Macaca mulatta: one gene and its partner. The protein of the gene in region 2 binds, or shares a complex with, the protein of the main gene of each other region. Links are inferred from orthologs where the notes say so. Each region holds a gene or a part of one and is shown on either strand. Other genes may lie near its edges. The genes, in order: XRCC4 and IFFO1.

The links.
Region 1: the proteins of IFFO1 (region 2) and XRCC4 are in contact, whole or in part, in a crystal structure (PDB 6ABO), measured with the Homo sapiens proteins. The link is inferred for Macaca mulatta from reciprocal best matches to the Homo sapiens genes IFFO1 and XRCC4. Residues at the interface, in NP_001317253.1 of Homo sapiens: Arg469, Glu470, Tyr473, Ile477, Gln479, Ile480, Glu481, Glu483, Leu484, Ala487, Lys488, Asp490, Met491, Arg493, His494, Leu495, Tyr498, Met501, Lys505, Leu508, Asp509, Met512, Cys515, Arg516, Leu518, Ile519, Thr520, Gln521; in NP_001304941.1 of Homo sapiens: Trp155, Val158, Gln159, Phe162, Glu163, Cys165, Val166, Lys169, Glu170, Glu173, Leu176, Tyr177, Phe180, Val183, Leu184, Lys187, Lys188, Lys190, Ile191, Leu194, His195, Lys197, Leu198, Ala201, Ala202, Arg205, Glu212.

What each region holds. Positions count from the first base shown.
Region 1 is NC_133411.1:89,411,147-89,414,959, reverse strand, and holds part of XRCC4 (DNA repair protein XRCC4), read right to left. Parts: intron 2,586-3,813; coding exon 2,410-2,585; intron 1-2,409.
Region 2 is NC_133416.1:7,504,074-7,508,358, forward strand, and holds the start of IFFO1 (non-homologous end joining factor IFFO1), read right to left. Parts: upstream 3,096-4,285; 5' UTR 3,061-3,095; coding exon 2,288-3,060; intron 1-2,287. Other genes in the region: NOP2 (28S rRNA (cytosine(4447)-C(5))-methyltransferase), read right to left, coding at 4,021-4,285. UniProt on the Homo sapiens protein: Nuclear matrix protein involved in the immobilization of broken DNA ends and the suppression of chromosome translocation during DNA double-strand breaks (DSBs).

The DNA of each region.
Region 1 (3,813 bases), on a different chromosome or scaffold from region 2:
TGAGAATAGCCTTTTCTTTCTCATAAACAAATAAATAAATGAATAAATACGGAGACAGCTATTTAGACTGCAATGTAGTGGTTTAAGACATTCTGTAGGGAACCAGCACACTTTTTGCATTGCTGGTAATCTTTTAGGCTGTTTCCATTTCTTGTGAACACTTCTTGAAAAGGTAGTACCTGTAGTTCAAGATGCTGGCTCTGATAAAGTTGTTTACTTTCAGGGTGGCAAGCAAAAATCTTTCAGGATTATTATGAGTCTTTGATGCTGATAGATGCCAAACCAACTGTAGAAGACATGAATCAAGAGGACTTAAAGCTCTTTCTTCATAGAAGGAGTAAAACCTGATGTATTGCCAGCCATGGCAAGTACTCCATCTAGGCTGATATGGTTTGTCTGTGTCCCCACCCAAATCTCATCTTGTTTTTTTTGGTTTTCTTATTTGTTTGTTTGTTTTGAGACAGTTTCGCACTTGTCGCCCAGGCTGGAGTGCAATGGCGTGATCTCAGCTCACTGTAACCTCCACCTTCTGGGTTCAAGCCATTTTCCTGCCTCAGCCTCCCAAGTAGCTGGAATTACAGGCATGTGCCACCATGCCCGGCTAATTTTGTATTTTTAGTAGAGACATGGTTTCTGCATGTTGGTCAGGCTGGTCTGGAACTCCCAACCTCAGGTCACCCACCCACCTTGGCCACCCAAAGAGCTGGGATTACAGGCATGAGCCACCACGCCCGGCCTAAATCTCATCTTGAATTGTAGCTCCCATAATTCCCACATGTTGTAAGAGAAACATGGTGGGAGGTAATCAAATCATGGGGGTGGGTTTTTCCCATGCTGTTCTCATGAAAGTGAGTAAGTCTCATGAGATCTAAAGGTTTTATAAAGGGGAGTTCACCTGTACATGCTCTCTTGCCTGCCACCATATAAGACATAACTTTGTTCCTCCTTCTCTTTCTGCCATGATTGTGAGGCCTCTCCAGCCACGTGGAACTGTGAATCATTTAAACTTCTTTCCTTTATAAATTGCCCAGCCTCGGTTATGTCTTTATTAGCAGTGTGAGAACAGATTAATATAAATGCCAACTGTACCAAGCCCCATCTTTTACCATGTCAAAAATATCAAAAGCCTTTCAGCCTTCCAAAATGTACCTCACTAATTTGGAATTATGTATCAATATGTATGAAACAGATAAAAACTAGAAAATGGCTGCACAAAATAATGCTAGTTGTTACATGCAAATGTTTAGTGAATGGGAAATGGCATTGATCCCAATTTGGCAATGATCTGCTTCAAAATATTCGAAGAGTCTGCACTTCTGTAATATATAATATCATCTGATTGAGCTTGGGCCATAGGAAAGAACACTTACGATAAATAACAAAATTGTAGTAGCTAGTTCCAACCTTCTTACTGTACCTATTTTAAATTACCATTTTAAGAAACACAGCATATTGAAACTTACATAATTTGACAGCTAATTAGAAAATGTTTATTTTAAATATAAATTACTAAGGCTAGTTTCTCTGTATTATTCCCTACATGATAATATATATTTATAATGATTCCATTTGTTTCTTCAAATGTTTCTCTAATGAAAGAAATCTCTTTAATTATTCTGAATTTAAAAGGTTGTTTTAAAATAATTTTCTAAACTAAGTTGAGCTCTAAAACAAATTCTCAATAGCTATTTGTTAACTTAACGTAGCAAACATTTCCTTCCCTCTCCTTTAGAAATGATAGCTCTCACATATGACTAAAAACCACCAGCTAAAAAAACAAATTCAATATCTATTCAACTTAGGTAAAATATACAAATAATTAGTGCAAGACTTTAATAAATAAACCACCTGCCTTGATCTGAATTGGTGCAGGAACTGAGCAGAATAAGTAGCAGATACTCTTGTCTGCAAAGCTTAGGCTGCAAATTATTTCTATTTTAATATTTTTAAATCTGACAATATAAATAAAGTATCCTTAATCCTGACTATGTATTTTTAAATTTCAAATACACTCTAATAAAGTAGAAAATAAGTCATAATTATTTGATATTCAAAGATATATTATTTCTTAAAATCAATATTTCACAAAACTTATTTCAATAAGACCTGTCACAATGGCTAAAACTTCTGATCCCACCTTTTTCAAGATTATAATTAACTCTGTAATACTTTAAAATTTTTCAAGCATTAAAAACTAAATATATTTTCCAATAATTATTTTTCGTGATTCATTAATATATTTAATGACTTTAGCTTTGAAGTCTCTTCCAATTCGGAAACTAAGTACTTTTCAAGCTTTTGCTTCTGAGGTGTTCTGGGAATAATATAGTAGTTACTTAAATTTAAATATAATCCCTCAATAAGTGCTCTGACATTTTACTATGTAACATTTTGGAAAGTTTTACTTACTGAAACATCTTTCAGGTTTTTCTCAAAGAAGAAATAACAAGACTCTTTAGAAAAATTAAATGTGTATACATCAGCTGGTCCTGCTCCTGACACCAATGCTTTTCTCAGTTCATCAACATATTTCCCTTTTTCCATTGCCATGTCATCAGCTTCTTGGGAAATCTCTGATTCAGAAACTATGGGAAATATTAACAAAAGTTTTAAAATGAAAAGTAAACGACTACACATGAGAAAATATTAGTTTATCTGTTAGTACTAATTTATCACGTGTAACAGAAATTTAAACAAGTAAAATCAATCCCTATACTACACATTTTTAAATCAAGTTATTCCTATTTATTGAACTAGCAATTTTTAAGAAATGCATTAATTTAGACTCACAACTCATGTGAAATACATTAAACCCTTGACATTCTTTCTCTGTCCTCAGATGAAACACATTGTAAGTTATTACAGAAAATTCCACTTTGTGTACCTGCTCTTAGGTCAAAGCCAGATAATTTCCTATAATGAATAATAAGCTCAATATTTTATAACATCTTCCTTCCTTGCATCAAAGATTCAATAGTCTACAGTGTATTTCTCACTCATATGAGCAGGGTAAAACAAAAGCAAAAGTGGAGCTCATTATTCTCATATCATGTGCCAACAACAGAAAATATGGATGAAAGGAAAATAAGGAAAGAATGGGAAGGAAACTAAAATGTACTGAGCATCTCCTCTGCAACACATACTATACTAGAGATCTGGCTTCCAATTCTCTTATCTAGGTATTTTTAAAGCTGATGTTTTATCTATCATTGAGATTTTTGTTTCAGTAATCATATTTTCAGTTCTAGGTATTATCTTTGTTCCTTTGCCATTATATCCTGTTCTACCCTACCCTTCTTTTAAATATTTAAATAAACGTATTTTAAGATATCTTTCATTTCTGTATTTATGTGTGGCTCCTGGAGTATAAATTATGTTTCTTCTATCTGTGGAAAAATTCTTGTTTTACTTGTTTTCCTTTCATGCTTTGTAACGTTTGAGTACGGCTTGCCTCTAGCCAAAGTGGCAAGTGTTCTGGGAAGAAGTGTTCTTAAATGAAGGTTGCTGGTTTGCCTTTCTGGGGGTCATTACAAGTTTCATCAGTTCGAGACTAGTTTTGAAAGTTAATTTCTCACCTTGATTTTTACACTTGAGGCAAAGTGTTCCATTTTAAACCTTGCATACACACATAACACAGGTTTAGGGTTCTGATTTTTCTTGAGACTTTTATTCACTCATAGTCCTTAGGGATTGTTCTATTTTTTTTTTTTTTTTTTTTTTTTGAGATGGAGTCTCGCTCTGTCGCCCAGGCTGGAGTGCAGTGGCCAGATCTCAGCTCACTGCATGCTCCGCCTTCCAGGTTCACGCTATTCT
Region 2 (4,285 bases):
CCTCCCCCCTGGCATTCTCATGCACACAGTCAGGCCACTAAGGGCCATAGTTGCATCAGGTTATATGTTTTCTTAGCTAAGCCCCTTATCTTTTCTGGGTCTTGGTTTCTTCATCTACGATGTGAAGGCATGAACTGTGGTGCCCTCATGCCCCTGGAGCCCATGAGTCCCTCGAGGAAGACAGTAAACCTGTCAAGGGCATGCTAACTCTGGACAAGATGTGTGAGGGAGGGCAGGAGGGGCTATCTGACAGTGAGCTCAACAAAACCTGGAAGAAACTTAAGGAAGGCGGTTAGCTAAAGGTTAAGCTTAAGGAAATCTTACAGGGTAAAAAATCTAAAAATGAATCACCTGGAAGTCCACTACAATTCTATTGTTCTTTAGCCAGATTTCACACAAACAGGTTCATTTTCACCTCCATTTCCATCTGGTCTCACTTACAAGGTTCCCTTAACATGGGCAGAATCTGAGAGCGATTTCCATGCATTCTGCATGAACCAAACACCACTCTTAGAAAAAACTCTATCCCTGGGTTGAAGAGAGAAAGCAGGGACCAATCCTAGGTTGGAAAAATGGGGGCTCAAAAAAAGGTCACACGCAAGGCAGGGGAGCTGAAAATAGAACCCAGGAGGCCTTCAGCTACCTCCCAGTTTAGTGCTCAAGCCATCCCAGGCCTTCCAGGCAGAAAACAGGAGTTACAGTGTTGCTATAAAGAGACCAGAATGAGGGCAAGGGATCTGGGGTGGAAGAAGAGTCACTGCCAGTATCACGTACCATCCAAGTCTAGCTACGGCCTTCTACACAGCAGTGTGCTGCAGAGCTATGAGCTAATCAGTCCCCAAGGAATAACTCTTTCCTGCCCTGGACAGCTGGACCAAGGACAAACGCTCCTTCAGTTTAAAAAAAAAAAAAAAGAAAAGAAAAAGCTCCTGAGAACAGCAATTGTTCCTGTGGTTATGGATGTATTCCAGAACTGTGCCTGTTCCACTGCTGAGTGTGTTAGCTCGCTCCTGCACGGGCAGAGCAGGCTGGTTCGGGTGCCAGAATGACTTCAGGACAACTGAAACTCCCAAGGACATGTAACATGGACCACAACTAAGGAAGCCAGCACAAGGACAGGACTCAAGCTCAGAAAGCCTGCTGATCTCTGATCTGGTAAACTCCAGCAGGGTGGAGATCCCTGAAGGTCGCCCCCACACCCAGTGGTCATTTCCTAGAACATTCGGCCAATCCTCACCCAGCGCTGAATCTCGGCTACACTGGGCTGCATAGGTAGTTCCCAGGCCCGCCCACAAGGGGTCATAATAGCTGAGATGAGAGGGGAGACCGCCAAACCAAAGTCTTCTCTGACTGTCACCGCCTTCCTCCTCAAGGCATGGGTTGGAGTCTGCAAGACGCTACCTCTGTTCTCCTGTCCTATCGACTTGGTTATCAGCCATCTAAGGAATCCACTTGGTATACAGCCAGCACTCCTGGCATCACATCCCTTCCCCTTGCCCCTTGGGACCGGGCTCCTCTCAGACAGCCAAATCTTCATCCACAGAATGCACTGGGCCCGCCCCGCGGTCTCGCAGTCCTAGGGAGTGTCCATATCCCAGCTTCTCCCCGCTCAGTCCCCTGCTGGCTCTCCACTCTCCCTCCACCGCTGGCGTTTTATACTGCCAAGAGATTCCCCCATCAGCCCTGCTCTCCACCCTCACCCTAGGGAATTCCCTTCACTCTTTCTTTTCCCACTTTGTTGACCTACTCAAGCAATGAGGTCCCGGAGCTTTTCCTATGAAACCACAGCAGGTACCTGGTTTCCATCAGTATTCTTTGAGAAACCTTGGGCTGTGAAAGAATCACCCGTTGCAAGGTACAGCCCCTTCCTTACCACCCCCTTCCAATTTCACTCAATTTACTCTCCCAAATTGACGCTATATCCTTGCCTCCTACTTTTCAAGTTTATATCCCTAAACTGCCCCAGGGCTGAGACCGGTAGGGCTCAGACCCAGTCCCTTTCACACCCACAAAGCCCGCAGTTAAGCCTGGATGCAGAGACAAGCCGGAAAAGTAGGAATTCCCCAGTGTTCCGCTCCCAGCGTCCTTCTTCCTGTCACGAGTGGGGCTTCTGCATTCTCTGCAGATTCTAGTCTCCCTGCGTCCAATTCCTTCCAAGCTCCTCATTATACAGCACAAACTTTCCTCTCATTCTTTTCACCCCTGATTCTTCGGAACCCACACCGACTCCCGGCCCGTTGTGAGGGGCATGACACAGAGAGCCCTGTCCCCTCTTCCCAATCCCTACCTCCGCTTGTACTCGTCCCGCTCCCGCTTCACTTTGGCCAGCACGTTGTAGAGCGCGCGGATCTCGGGCGTGATGGTGTCGATTTGGACGCCCACCCCATCCGGGTGCACCCACGACAAGCCAGGCCCTTGCACCAGAGTGGGCTCCAGTCCCGGCCCGAGCCGGCGGGCGTGCGAGAACGACCAGATGGTGCCGGGCATGAAGCGGGCAGACGAGGAGTAGGCGGTGGAGGTGGAGGTGGAAGACGACGAGAGGCTGGCCGCGGAGGGCGCGAGGGGGCCGGCCGGAGAGCGCGCGGGCGAGCCCAGCACCCGCGCCGACGGGCTGCAGACAGCGGCCGGCCGGGCGCCCAGCGGCAGCCCCAGGGGCCGGATGGGGCTGACGAAGCCGGTCTGCACGGCCTGGTCGCGACGACCCAGGCCCCGCCGGCCCTGCTTACCCTCCTCCAGCGCTTGCTGCAGCTGCTTCTCCAACAGCCGGTTCCGGCGCTCCAGCTCATGCACCTTGGCCAGGAAGCAGCGGAACCGGAGGTTCAGGGTCTTGAGCACGTTGATGTTGGAGCCCAGGTCATTGCGGAGGGCCATGGCGGCAGGCGGGGCCGGGCCCGGCCCGGGGGGCGAGTAGGCAGCAGGGCCGGCCGGCGAGAGAGGCGCCGGGGGTAAGTCTCCTCCCCCGGCGAAGTGGTCGCCTCCCAGTGAGTCCCCCAGCGGCCCGGCCAGGCCCTGCTGCTCCTGCTGTAGGAGGAAGAGGTTGGGGCCGAATAACGGATTCATGGCTGCGCCTTCTGCTGGGAGATGCAAACCAGTGCAAGAGCAGGGATGGAGGGCGAGCGAGAAGAGCCAATGCGGCGCCGGCGGGACAGGGTCGACCAATCAGGAGGCTCGGCGGCAGGGCAGAGGTCAGGGGGCGGGCCGAGGGGGAAGCCAATGACAGGCTCCAATTGGAGGCCGGACCCTGGACCTTTCCGGATCTGAAGCCGAGCCCAGGGATGAGGGGCCCACCGCCTGGAATTCAGCTGGGGTGGCGTAAAGCCCAGGCCCTCCAGTACCCCATGGGTTCTGGTGGCAAGCCCATCTCCCCTACGCTACTTTTTTTCTGAGACCGAGTCTCACTGTCGCTCAAACTGGAGTGCAGTAGCGTGATTTCGGCTCACTGCAACCTCAGCCTCCCAGGTTCAAGCGATTCTCCTGCCGCAGTCTCCCGAGTAGTTAGGATTACAGGTGCCCGCCACCATGCCCGGCTAATTTTTTGTATTTTTAGTGGAGACGAGGTTTCACCATGTTAGCCAGGCTGGTCTCGAACTCCTGACCGCAGGTGATCCACCCACCTTGGCCTCCCAAAGTGCTGGGATTACAGGCGTGAGCCAGCATGTCCGGCCTTCCCCTACACTTCTATTGCCCTCCTCTCCCCAGAGTTCAATCACCCCTAGCTCTGACTCCAGGGCTCTCCCTTCCTGGGAAGACTCAAGGCTGCAGGAGCCTAAAACTGACCTGATTTCTCAGTAGCACCCAACCATTCCCTCTCCTCAGAAGATCCCAGTCCCACCTTCCCACCTCTACCCTTAAAGCAGCAAAGGCAGTACCCAGTTCCCTCAAAAATACTCAGCGGCCAGAGGTTGTAAAATGTGTATTAAATTTCATGGGTATGCACAGTGGAGAAGGCATCCTCATAGAGGCAAGAGTTCCAACCCGGTGACAATGGCAGTGAGCCACCCCAGTCTAGTTTTCAACCATCTAAGACAGGAGCAGCTGGCCATTCCCCCGGGACTGAGATTTCTTCCTCTTTGCTGGTGGGGGGCGGCTGGAACTGATGGGAGACACAGTCGGAGACTGAGGCCCCTTGGGGGTGTCATTCTGTTTCTGGAAGGCAGCTTTCTTGAAAGGCTGCTCTGGCAACTGCTGCTTCTCAACCCCCTTGGCCCTTCCAAGGGGGTGATGATGGTCCTTAGGTTTCAGGGTGGCCTGAGTCTTGGATGGGGATAACACAGCCGGTGTTTCT